3 linked regions of the Tamandua tetradactyla genome follow. The protein of the gene in region 2 interacts with the protein of the main gene of each other region in a pairwise test. Links are inferred from orthologs where the notes say so. Each region holds a gene or a part of one and is shown on either strand. Other genes may lie near its edges.

Region 1 (3,745 bases), on a different chromosome or scaffold from region 2:
AAAAGATAACCAATGTCCACAGAACATAATATAGGACCTGGCATGCAAGTGTTTTGTAAGTTAATGAGCTCTGTCTGAAAACACTACCCAAGTTATCAGGTTATCACAGTTTGGGAAAAAAAGAGAAATCAGCAGAAAGATAAATGAGTACTGAAGGTTGGAAGTTGCCACCTAATTATAATCCCTTGAGGAGATCATCACAATTCTGACACTAGCACCGAACTGTGGAAAATAAGAACCCAGAGCATGTTGCCACTCTCCACACTACGACCAGTTTCCATTTGTCCTCTGGCAGATAAGAGCCTCACTCCCACCCCTCCTACCTCCCATCATGGGATCCGTTTCATCACTTCCCTCCACCCTGTGTGAGGTCCCACCCCGAGGACAACACTGTGTTTTACTTCCTCTTTCTCTCCAGCCCCACTAACCAATCTGTGCTACGTTGATCACCCACGTTGGCCGCCATCTGGACCCTGGGGCGTAAGGGGTGGACCTCGGGAGCCAGACTGCTTTTTCACTGTCTGCGAGAGAAAGAGGGGATTAGGAAGACTCAAAAAGAAATGAGAAACATGCCAGAGACTGGGAAAGAGAAGTCTCCGGAGACAAACAATCTGAAAAGCATTTGAAGTCTGGGTGTGGAATGAAAGGGCTGGAGTATGAGGGGACGCCCATGTACTCCCCGAAATGCTCTAGGGGGGAAAGGAAGGACTTGAAAATAGGTCTGAGGGCATTTCCCAAACGGAGAGGGAAGGGTCTGAAATCCGTATGACAAAAGAGAAGGGTGTGAGGGAAGCCCTGAGAGAGGCTGGAGGAAAGTCGGGAGAATGTGACAGGGGAACTTCAGCCAAAGGTTCAGAGGGAAACAGAAGTAACAGGTCAACCGAAGGAGCAAAGTCTGAGTGATCCCTTAGGGACAAAAGCTTGGGGAAACTTCTGGAGGAACCCTGTATACAAAGGAAAGCCGATGAAGGAGCACTGAGAGATAAGGGGAGGGGCTGGGACAGAGAGAACTTTAAGATTTCTACAAGTTACCCTAGAAGCAGGGAAAAGTGAGAGAGTACAGGATGGGAACATCACGCGAAACAAAGGGTTCTGATTAGGCTTTTAAAGACTGATTTCAGAAAGGCTCTCTAAGAGCAAAGCAGAAACGTAAAGGGGAGGTTTCAGAAATGAGCCTGGGAAAGAGGAAAAGAAATCGATTCTCTTAATTGGGGACCTGGGGATAAAGCTTCGGGGTTGCTGAACAGGCAAAACATCTTTAGGAAGTTATTACTAGAGTGGGGTGGTAAGCGCCGAAGGAAAGAGAGGGTCTTGGGAACCGAGACTGAAGAGGGCTTAATGTCCCTGAGGGAGGAACAGGGGTGGGGTCAAAGGCGAAGCCCGATGAGAAATGAAGAGACGGGGCAGGAATCTGGGGCCCGGCGAAGCCCTAGCGAGCAAACAGAACCTGGGCGGAAGCAGGGGGTCCGTGGGGACAGTCCTAGGGGGTGGGGTCTTGGGCGAGGTCCCAGAGGGGCCTCACGAGGGGAGCACGGAGCTGGGAGACCGGCCGGGGAGCACCTGGTCGTCCAGCAGGACCGAGGCAGGCGAAGAAGGGCGCGGGGTGGAAGAGGCCGCGCGGCCTGGGAGCCACCGCCCCGGGCACGCCGCGCCTGCGCACCAGGATCCCTGGGGGGAGGAACGCTGCTCGCGGGACGCCTGTCTCCCGGGGCAACGCGGCCCTGCTCGTGGAAACGTCCTGTCAATGGCAGGTGGGGCGCCTCCGGGACCCGAGAACTCCCGAGCAGGGATGGGGGGGGGATGAAAAGCGGAAGACCACGGCGCATGCGCATTGACCCGCCCGCGTTCCCGCTCCGAAGCGCACGCGCAGTGCCCGGCCTTGCCCGCCCCACCCTGTGGACGCTCACGCGCCACGGCTGTTGGTATGACTGCCGAGCAGGCCTTGGGGCCCGCCGGGCATAAGCCCTGAGGGAGCAAACGCCCCCTCCCCCATCGCTCGCCGCCGTCCCTACCTGCCTCGACCACGAGCTCCCGGGACTCGTCAGCGGTGCCTCAAAGCGATAGCGACGCGACAGCGGAACCGCTCGGCGACCTGGCCGGCTCTTCTCTTCTTTTGGCTTCGACGATCGGACCGCGGCGTCCTGACGTCACGAGGAGGCCGCGCCCCGCCTCCCTCGCTTTTGCCCGGCCAATGTGCGCCGCGAGCCGGATCTGAGCCCGGCCTCCCACCTACGCATATTAAAGCGCTGGGCCGCCGCGGGCCAGCAGGGCTGGGACGGTGGCCCCGAAGGGACACGCCGCGCAGGCGTGAGTCGTTGATGCGCTCTTCTCCCTTCCGGGCTTCCTTGTTTGGGCTGGGTTGGTGGTAACCATCTTTACTCCTTGCTGTGAACTAGGTTGATGGGCATGGCTTATAACGTGGGAGCCCAGGAGAGGATGGTTAACTCAGCGGGGGCGTCAGGAGAGGCCTCCACCCAGGAATGGCGCGCGTGGCTGTGGGTCGTGGGGCCCTGGGCGGCGGGAGAGGACGGTGGGGCCTGGAGGGGAGAGAGGGCGGCGGAGCTGGTGGTCGTCGTGTCGGGCTGCGGACTTGGGATCCCCGGGAAGCCCCCGAGCCCCCTGTCCCCACAAGCCCCTCCACGTCCTCTTTTGTGCTATTGCTGAGCCGGGGATTGGCGTCTTAGTGCTTATCGACATACTCGGGTCCTCTTTCTGATCATTTTTTAAAGCCCTTTTTAAGCCCGACTTCCTGAACTCTGCCCTGCGTCCTTGTTTATAGAGAGGAGGATAATAGTGCCTCGCGGGGTTGTGTGAGGAGCACAGGAGTCAGTCTCTACATGTCATCGCTGTGTGCGTAGCAGCTGGGTTTTAAATCATTGCTTAACCTTATGGAACTGGGTTCTCTCGGTGCATCACAGACATACTGTCAGGTCCACAGAGAGAGGTTTATCTCATTCTCCTCCGTGGCTTAATAATATTCCACGCAGAGCACTCATTCGTTGACTCGTTGGGTAGGTATTAGGGGTGGGATCATGTGACCATGAGAAATCCCTGTCTCCCAGGACATCTGGTGGGAGAACAGTCAATACGCAGATAACACGGACAGATCTGTCCTAGGCGGCGCTTAGGCCATGCCAGGGCTGGGTGTGGTTTAAGGGGAGGTCTGAGAGGTTGGCGTGGGAGTGGGTTCTGGAGGAGGAGAGGGAGAGTCGGGGCCCCGTCCTCCAAGCTCCCCCGATGGTAGCCTCCTCAGAGAAGGGCAGCTTGGAGGCTGTGGCTTCTGGAGCGCAGACCTCAGGGCTTGGGTCCTGAGAGGAGGAACCTGCAAAACACGGAATGAGGGTGCAGTGCCTTTTCCGAAAGGGTCCCTGCCTCGGTTTCCTCAGATATCCTAGCTATCCTACAGATAGCTCCTCCCAGGCCACCCAGCACAGATCTGAGACCGGCTGCACCTTAGGCACAGATGGGAACGCCATCTCATCTACTGTTGTGCCGGTGTTCTCATTTTAGTTTTTGTTTTTCCTGCTTGCTCCTCCAGATCTAACCTTTGCCAACCTCTGCCGTGCCTCTGTGCCCGGAGGCTGACTTATGAACTGCACTGTGACCCAGGCACCTTTACCCTTTGCCTGCCCTTTGCATTGGACCCGGCAGGGGATGGGAAAAGAGAGGTCGTGATATTCGTTCCCCTGGCCCTCTCCTCCCTGTCCTGCTGCCATTTTGGACGTGGTTACGTGCCTCTCCCTGT
Region 2 (3,745 bases):
AGGGCTCTATCTTTTCAATTTCTTTCCTCTCTGACCCCAAACTTTCACCTCATTCTCTTTGGTAATCCCCATTAGTAACCTCCCCCCCCCAAACAACAACAACAACAAACTCCTCCGTTTCATCTCTGCCACAAATCCTGTCACCCCAATCTCTACCCCAGTACCCCAAACTCCTCCCACCTCTCTTTATCACATTCCTATGATCCCTGAAGACCCTGTATTTTTCCAATCTTTTCTTGTCTAACCCCATTGCCCTAATCTTACCCCAGGACCCCAAACTTCCACCTCACCTCTGCCCCAGACCCTGTCACCCCCAAAGTCCTTCAGTCTTCCCCATATCTGCCCTTAAAAACCACCGCCCCGCCCGCCCAGCCCCCTCCCGCGCCAGGCCGGCGGGCTCCCCACATTCCGCCGCCGCGAACCCCTCCCCGCGCCCCGGCCCCTCGGCCTCGGTCTCGGCCAACTCGCTCAGCGCCTCCCTCTCTCCGGATCCCCCTCTCTCCCCCCTCGCAGCTTGCCTCGCGCTCCCTCCCTCGCGTCTCCCTCCTGGCCCCTCTCTCCTCCGTTCCTCCGCGCTCCCTCCTTCTCCCTCTTCCTCCCTTCTCCCATCCCCCTCTCCCAAGCTCCCTCCCTTCGCCGTCCGCTTTCCTGTGCTAGTCGCCGGACGCGCAGCCCAGCTCGCCCGCAGCCCCGCGCCGGGCCGGGGCCTCGGGCCGGGACCCATTTCGAGGGGGACCGCTGGCCTCGGGGAGGGGCTAGGAGGGGGCGAGCGCGGCGACCTCCCGGGGAGGGGGGGCCGCGGGCGGAGGCCGCCGAGGGGGCCCGGATCGCGCGAGTGCGGGCGGCGGCGCAGGTCGGAGCGGCGCAGAGGGCCCGCGGGCGGGGGCGGCGGCGCGGCGGGGACGTTTCGGGCGGCCGGGGAAAGGCGGCCGGACAGGGGAGGGCGCGAGCGGGAGCGGGGACCGGATTTGCTCCTGGGGCCGGCGGGCGATCGGAGCCAGGTGGGGAGGAGAGGGGGGATGGGGGCCGCCCTCCGGGGGGGTCGGGGCCGCCGCCGCCGCCGCCGCCGCGGCGACTGAAGCCGGGTATAGAAGAGGGGGGCGGGGAAGCGGCGGCCGCCGCCCCCCGGAGGCGCCGGAGCAGCGAATCCCGCCCGAGCCAGCCAGCCGTTCCGAGCTACAACCAGGTAAGATCTGCTGCCTCTCGGGCCTCCGGCCTGCCCGGGTTCTGGCTCCCCACCCCCACACGTCCTAGCTCCCCCTCCCGCCGCCGCCGCCGCCGCCGCCTCCGCCTCCATTTGTTATTTTCCGGATCGGATACCCCCACTGCGGGCACTGCCTGGCTTGAGACTAGGGGCCCCGAGGGTGGGGCTGGCTCCGAGGAGGGATAGGGGCCAGGGCACCCGGAGGATCAGAAAGGTGGGGGGGAAAGGGAGGATCTCAGGAGGAGGGCTGATTGGGCAAAGGGGATAGCCAGGACCACCGGACCAAAAGAGGGGGGATACTGAGATGGGGGGGTTGGTAGAGGAAAACCAAGGGATGCCCGTGAGCAGTACTGGGGCGAAGGTAGAAATGACTGGAGAGATGGCAACCGAGGTGGGGCATGAAAGATCCAGGAAAAGCTCTAAAGGCAGGCAGTCCGGCTGGGTTCCAGGGCCCGAGATTGGGGGTGCTAGGAATAGAAGGGAAGTGAGAAATGGGGAAGGGGTGTGGTAGGTGGAAAGAGAGGGATTGTAGCTGATGAAGGAGGGAACGGGACCTGGAAAAACGCTGGGAAAGGAACAAGAGGTCTTTCTTAGAGAGGAAAAACTCGAGGTTTTGGGGGTGGGAGGGGGAAGGTAGTGCCTTTCGGTTCAGTTTTCTTTCCCCCACTCTAGGTCACCTTTGACCCTGTTTTTCTAATTCCAGACTTAGTTACTTTGGGAGAGGGGCAATGGGGTCCAGAAGTGTGGGTCCTCTTAAAACTGAAGAGGGGCAAGACAGGCACTGATGGAAGAAAGGGTTGAGGTAGAGAGAGACAACTGGGCAGACCTCTAAGCATTCGAAAGAGATTGTGGTCTGAGAGTGTGTGGGGGTTCATTACTGCTTTGAGCTCTAAGATTTTTGTGCATGGGCTTGTTTCTGCTGGGGAAGGTACCCTTAAGCTTACTTTCCCAAAGGTGGTAGGAGGATAGGAGTTGCTTTGGCAACTGAGGGGAAGATTGGCTGCCATATGGCCCCTAGGATGGCCTCTTGGGGGTGGGGTGGGGTTCTGCCATTTCGTTGCCATGGCAGTGGTCCAGTGGGATGTCCAATAGGTGGGGGTTCAGAATCTTGACTGAACCCTCAGCCTGTGGCTATGTCCTCAGGGCATAGCAGGGCCCCCAATCCTTAGGGGTCTTGACTGAATTTTGGAGGATGTTTCTGGTGCTGCTAGTTGGTTGATAGGAGGTTCCCCAGGGGAGTGCACCCCCTTCCATCCAGCAATCTTTTGGAATGGGTAGACATGCTACTTGCAGGTCACAGGTATATCTACAAGTCCCTTCCCCCAGGCATGGTAGGAGGATGAAAATGCTCCTAAGTTATATCATCTTTGGCACTTCTTTCTTGCCTCTACCTCTCTTACTACTATGGATTTTTTGTACACAGGTCTTTTTGCTTTTCTGCAATGATATTCTTCCATCTTCTTAAACTTGACTTTCTCCTTCAGTCTGTCTTCCTTAGGACCCCTTTTCCTCTTTCCCAGATTATACTCAAGGTGACCGCTTCCCTCAGCTAACCTTTGACCTTTTACTTTCCTGACTTTGTAGGAATGGCCAGGCTGTCCCCACCCATCCCAATTGAGAGTGGCCCAAGGCAGAGAGCTTTGGGACAAAATGGTGCAGTACTCTGAAATGGGAGGCAGGAGGCCTGGGTCTCTTCTAGTTGTGCCTCCAAGGAAGTGTGACCTTGGGTGAATCACTTCTTTTTGAGATTTGGCTTCATTGTAAAATGAGGGGATTATAGACTAACTAATCTGTGAGCCCCACCTGACAACCCTGGATTCTAAGTCTGCTCAGGCCAGTGCATCCTTATCTGCTTGTCTAGGCTGCCTCGTTATCTAGGAGTTACTTTGGACTGGTTGGTAAATCTGGCAGGTCCTGAATGATGGGGGCTGGGCCAGCAATCTTGAAATTCACCCTGTAGGTCCCTCCTAAAAAGCCTTGTGACTCAGTGTGTTCCTTCTGACATCCTTCCATATTTCTCCCTTAATTTCTTTTCCTCTTCTTGCTGAGGGGTTCTTCCTATTTCTCACAACCCTTTTCCAACTCCCCTTCTGGTCTTGAGCCTTTTCACTTTGCATAAGGTAATGCAGGTGAATGTGTTTAGTGTGTTGCTGACACTTAGGAGGTGCTGGATAAATAATACAGTGAGCAACTCCTAGGGCAAGATGGAGGGTAGCTTAGCTGGTTGGTGCTAAACCTTGTCCCAGGTTGGGGAACAAAAATACAATCCAGTCCTAACCACTCCCTTTCCCTCCCCTCCATTTGTTATCCCCAGTATTGCCTACTCTTTTATGACTGCTTTTCTCCTTCAGAGTTACTAATTGCTAATTTTATCAGATCTCAGCTGATTAAAAAGTTGAGGTGGTACACTACGCTTGTTTTCTTCAGGTGCATACCTGTATTTCTCTGACCTTTTGGAGCCCCTAGCTCTGACTGCCTTGGTGCAGAGGTTCTGTGGCAGGGAGGAGGGATGGGCACCCTGCCTTGAAGGGGACGACAAAA
Region 3 (3,745 bases), on a different chromosome or scaffold from region 2:
TTCCCCGTTTCCCGGACCTAACACTGTTTTCCGTCTGTGGGAGACTGGGGGAAGGGAGTCTTTCCACTTCTCTAAACCAATTGACTCAATTGTTTCATGGAGATAATCTACCCTACTTTATGGTCTATTAATTGCACAGACACATGTACTTGCCAATTAAGTATTAGCTTCATCACTGGGGTAATGTGGGCCGGGCCCGGGTGGGGTGGGGGGGAAATGAACATTTGAATTACTAATAAAAATGGTCTAGAAGACTTCTGGTTTTATTTACTCTTGCAATGTTCTGTGTCAAACACTCGGTGAAGTCAAGGAATATTTAGGAGCACCTACTTTTGCTACATAGCTTTGGGGAAAGAATGCCACTGCCCGGAGGACCTTCCTTGAGGTCACGCCCCCGGCTCAGCCGCGGACCGGAAAGTCAAGTCAGCAACACCCGCCGCCAGCTGGAAACCTCTTCCCAAATCTCGGCAGCGGCCCCGCCCCTTCCACAGGTTCAGGCCCCACCCCCTTCTCCCATTGGCCACTCCTCCATCTCCACTCGACCACTCCGAAGACCCGGAGTAGCGGAGTTTTCTAAAGGCATCAGTGGGGCGCCCTGGCTGCGCATGCTCGAGGAAAGCCGGATTCCGGGTCCAGACTTGGAGTCTCTGGGCGGCCGCGGCGCAGCGCGCGGTGTCGGGGCGGGCCGGCGGGTGGGGAGACGCGCACTCGGGCCGCGGCGCGCTCCCGCGGAAGGAGGTGTGGGTTGGGCTGGAGGTGGCGCGTGGCCGGGGTGGGGGTGGGGGGAGGGTCGGGAGTCGGCGAGGGCGGTGTGCGGGTTCCGAGTGGCTGCGGGCGGCCTGGGCTGCCGGGGCCGACGAGCCTGCTGTGAGATGGCGATCCTGGGCGCGGAAGGGTGAGAGTGACCCCGCAGGAGGAGGCGCCGCTGCCGTGGCCGTCCGGCCGCCGGGAGCAGACGGCTTCGCGCGGGTAAGGACGGTGCGGGGCGGTGGTGAGGGGCGGGTGCGGGCCCTGAGCCTCCGCGGCGGGCCGGGGAAACCCGCGCCGTGCGCACCCCGGCAGGACCCTCCGAGGGGCTGTCGGTGACGGTCAGTGACGGCCCGCGCCTTCCTGGCTGCCTCCCAGCCCTGGGGCTCCGAGTTTTGGGGGGTGGGGTCACGGGTCTTGCCCCGAGTTGGCTCTGGCGGAGGCCTCTGCTGCTGTTACTGGAGCCGGCAGAAGTGTTTCCGTGACTCTGCAGCCGCAGTTCTCAAGCTTCCTTAGTCTTCTTTTCGCCTCCGTTCTATCTCTTTTCATTTCCCTAACACCTCCTCACCAAACACAAATATTTTGGCTTAACTGCCGGTACCCCTGGTTTCACCGCAATTCCACCGTCTCAAACGAAGGACTCCCAGCCTTAGAACGTCTTCTTCTGACATGTTTTTATCACCCCCTGTTTTTCACTGACTGCAGTTCCCTTTAAAACAGCTCCCTCTTCCACCTTTGTGACCTGGTAGGTCCCTGTGACCTTGCAGTTTTTAACCAGTCCTTATCCCATCTATGACTTAGGACTTCTTTCTTTTTTTTATTTTGTAGTTTGCCCGTTGCTTTTACAACCTTTAAACTATCTTACGCACAACCCTTTCTTTACTCCATCGATATGGAGTTGAGCTTCTTTTGCTCCGATGATTATGTGAGACCTTCGTTACTGAAGTAGTTGTTATTTTGACATTTTTACTTCTTCATCCAGTGGCCTGATTTGGCTTTACAGTTTTTATTTGATGTTTCGTCTTTTTGTGTAGGCTCATGTGCAAAAAGATATGACTTTCTGCTTTAAGGTGCTACGGTTATAGTTATGGAAAAATAATGTCCCATTTTTTTTCCCTTTGGTCTTTTTTACCTGAAGTATCTGGTTTATAATTGTCTGCAGGTTTCTGTGAGAGTTTATACTTATGTATAAATCGACTTTCTTGTCTTATTAAGTCTCTGTATTAAACAAGCAAGATGCAGTGTATTGCACCTTTTAAAAAAAAGAAGGTATTCTTTTAATGTGACTTGTTTTGGCCATTCAGTAGTAAATCAATAGTTAATCGTTTTTAAATTAAATACTTGAGTTGACCAAGTGTTGGGTGCTACTCAAATTGAGACACATAAAGCATGTGGAATAGTTCATTTCTTTGGGATGTTGTTTATTAACATTTTCAAATAAATCTTCCTTTACAGTGCAAAACTGCTTATAAGTGCTGTGACACCACGGTTTTGAAAAGCAGTGATTTACAGTTACATTTTTTTTGAAGCTTGGCATGATAGAGGATGTCTGCCTTGGAAGAGATCCTAATCTTAGCTGTTTACCCCGTGCTGGCTGAATTTTTTTACTTCCTTACACAATTATTAAGTGTTTACTGCAAGACTGTGTGAGGTATTTAGGGAATACAAAGATGAGGATAACAGTCTCTGCCTTCAAACCTTCCACAGACTAGGTAGGTAGATAGTACTACACAAATGCCTCATTTGTCTTTTATTATATAGCTTCGCTTCATAAATGATACAGAAGTCCCCTAAGGACTTCAAAGTCAAAGGAGGTCGAGCTTATTTCATTCAGCAAGGTAAGGCTAGGGAGTTAGGATGCTTCTGGCTTCTGAAGTCTTGGTTTTGAAGGATTACTGTGACTTTGATAGACAGTGAAAGGTAATACACGCAGAGTAAAGGGTCTAAGAGCAGAGTTCATACATTCACAGAGAGACCAGTAATTATGTTTGATGGAACATAAAGTATTTGTACAGGAATAAAGGATGATAAAACTTGAAGTAAAAATTTGGCCCAGTTTATGGATTGCTTGTAATGCCAGGTTTATCACCTTGGATTTAGTAGGCAGTGAGGTTCCAGAGAAGATTTTTGAGTTGGGGATGCAACGACTAAAGCTGTATTTTAGGATTAATCCAGTAGTCGCGTGTGGGGAGGCCTCCCCATTGCTCTCTGTCTGGGCTATAGATAGTGACGTAAGTATCAGAACTGAGGTGGTGATAATGGGAATGGAAAGGAGAAAGGGAGTAGAATAGACCAGATTTGATGATGAAAGAAAGAATGAAGAAAATATAAAATATCCAAGATTCTGATCCAGATTGGTTGGGAGAATGGTGGTAACATTTTGAGCAAAATCTTTGGAAGCTTTAATCCCAGTGCATGTATGTTATTTTACAGCTGTAGTTGTAATTTTGAGACAACTAACCATCTGAGACAACTAACCCTTTGTGAAACTAAAGAAATCAGTTGGCTTGAAAAATTCCCATATGCACCTGTGCTTTGTGGATTGAATTATAGGGAAATCCATACACCACCTGAAGCTCAACCGTGGAACCTGTGGACCAGTGGGTTGGGTGGGGAGGCAGATCTCAGAATGATCTGGGAGCTTTATAAAACAATAGAACTTTTAGGTTCCTCTATCCACACTGATGAAGAACCCCTGCTGTAGAGGGTACCTAGAGATGTAATATCTTATGCTTGTGTTGTACTTCATAGTTTATAGGAATTTTGACTAACATATTCTTTCCTATTATATTATGAAACAGACTAACCCAAGAGGTTAAATGATTTGCCCTTAGTAAACAAGTGGGTAAAGTGGAATCAGGAGTTAGTTAACTGACAGTGATGGTTTTCTTTCTTGTATGAAGATAATATGATTTACCATCAGTTGGGTATAGTTAGTGCCTCTAAGTGACTTCATCAGGGAGGATGATATGAGTCCAGAAGGTTCCTTCCACATCTT

Evidence for each region.
Region 1: the proteins of ATN1 (region 2) and LENG8 interact in a two-hybrid assay, tested with the Homo sapiens proteins (2 studies listed by BioGRID and IntAct). The link is inferred for Tamandua tetradactyla from reciprocal best matches to the Homo sapiens genes ATN1 and LENG8.
Region 3: the proteins of ATN1 (region 2) and WWP1 interact in a two-hybrid assay, tested with the Homo sapiens proteins (2 studies listed by BioGRID and IntAct). The link is inferred for Tamandua tetradactyla from reciprocal best matches to the Homo sapiens genes ATN1 and WWP1.

The regions. Positions count from the first base shown.
Region 1 is NC_135342.1:5,048,480-5,052,224, forward strand, and holds the start of LENG8 (leukocyte receptor cluster member 8), read right to left. Parts: upstream 2,179-3,745; 5' UTR 2,013-2,178; intron 1,680-2,012; exon of another isoform or gene 1,561-1,679; intron 522-1,560; exon of another isoform or gene 518-521; 5' UTR 467-517; coding exon 429-466; intron 1-428.
Region 2 is NC_135333.1:69,229,586-69,233,330, forward strand, and holds the start of ATN1 (atrophin-1), read left to right. Parts: upstream 1-1,039; 5' UTR 1,040-1,186; intron 1,187-3,106; exon of another isoform or gene 3,107-3,745. UniProt on the Homo sapiens protein: Transcriptional corepressor. Recruits NR2E1 to repress transcription. Promotes vascular smooth cell (VSMC) migration and orientation. Corepressor of MTG8 transcriptional repression.
Region 3 is NC_135332.1:129,830,079-129,833,823, forward strand, and holds the start of WWP1 (NEDD4-like E3 ubiquitin-protein ligase WWP1), read left to right. Parts: upstream 1-782; 5' UTR 783-969; intron 970-3,745. UniProt on the Homo sapiens protein: E3 ubiquitin-protein ligase which accepts ubiquitin from an E2 ubiquitin-conjugating enzyme in the form of a thioester and then directly transfers the ubiquitin to targeted substrates.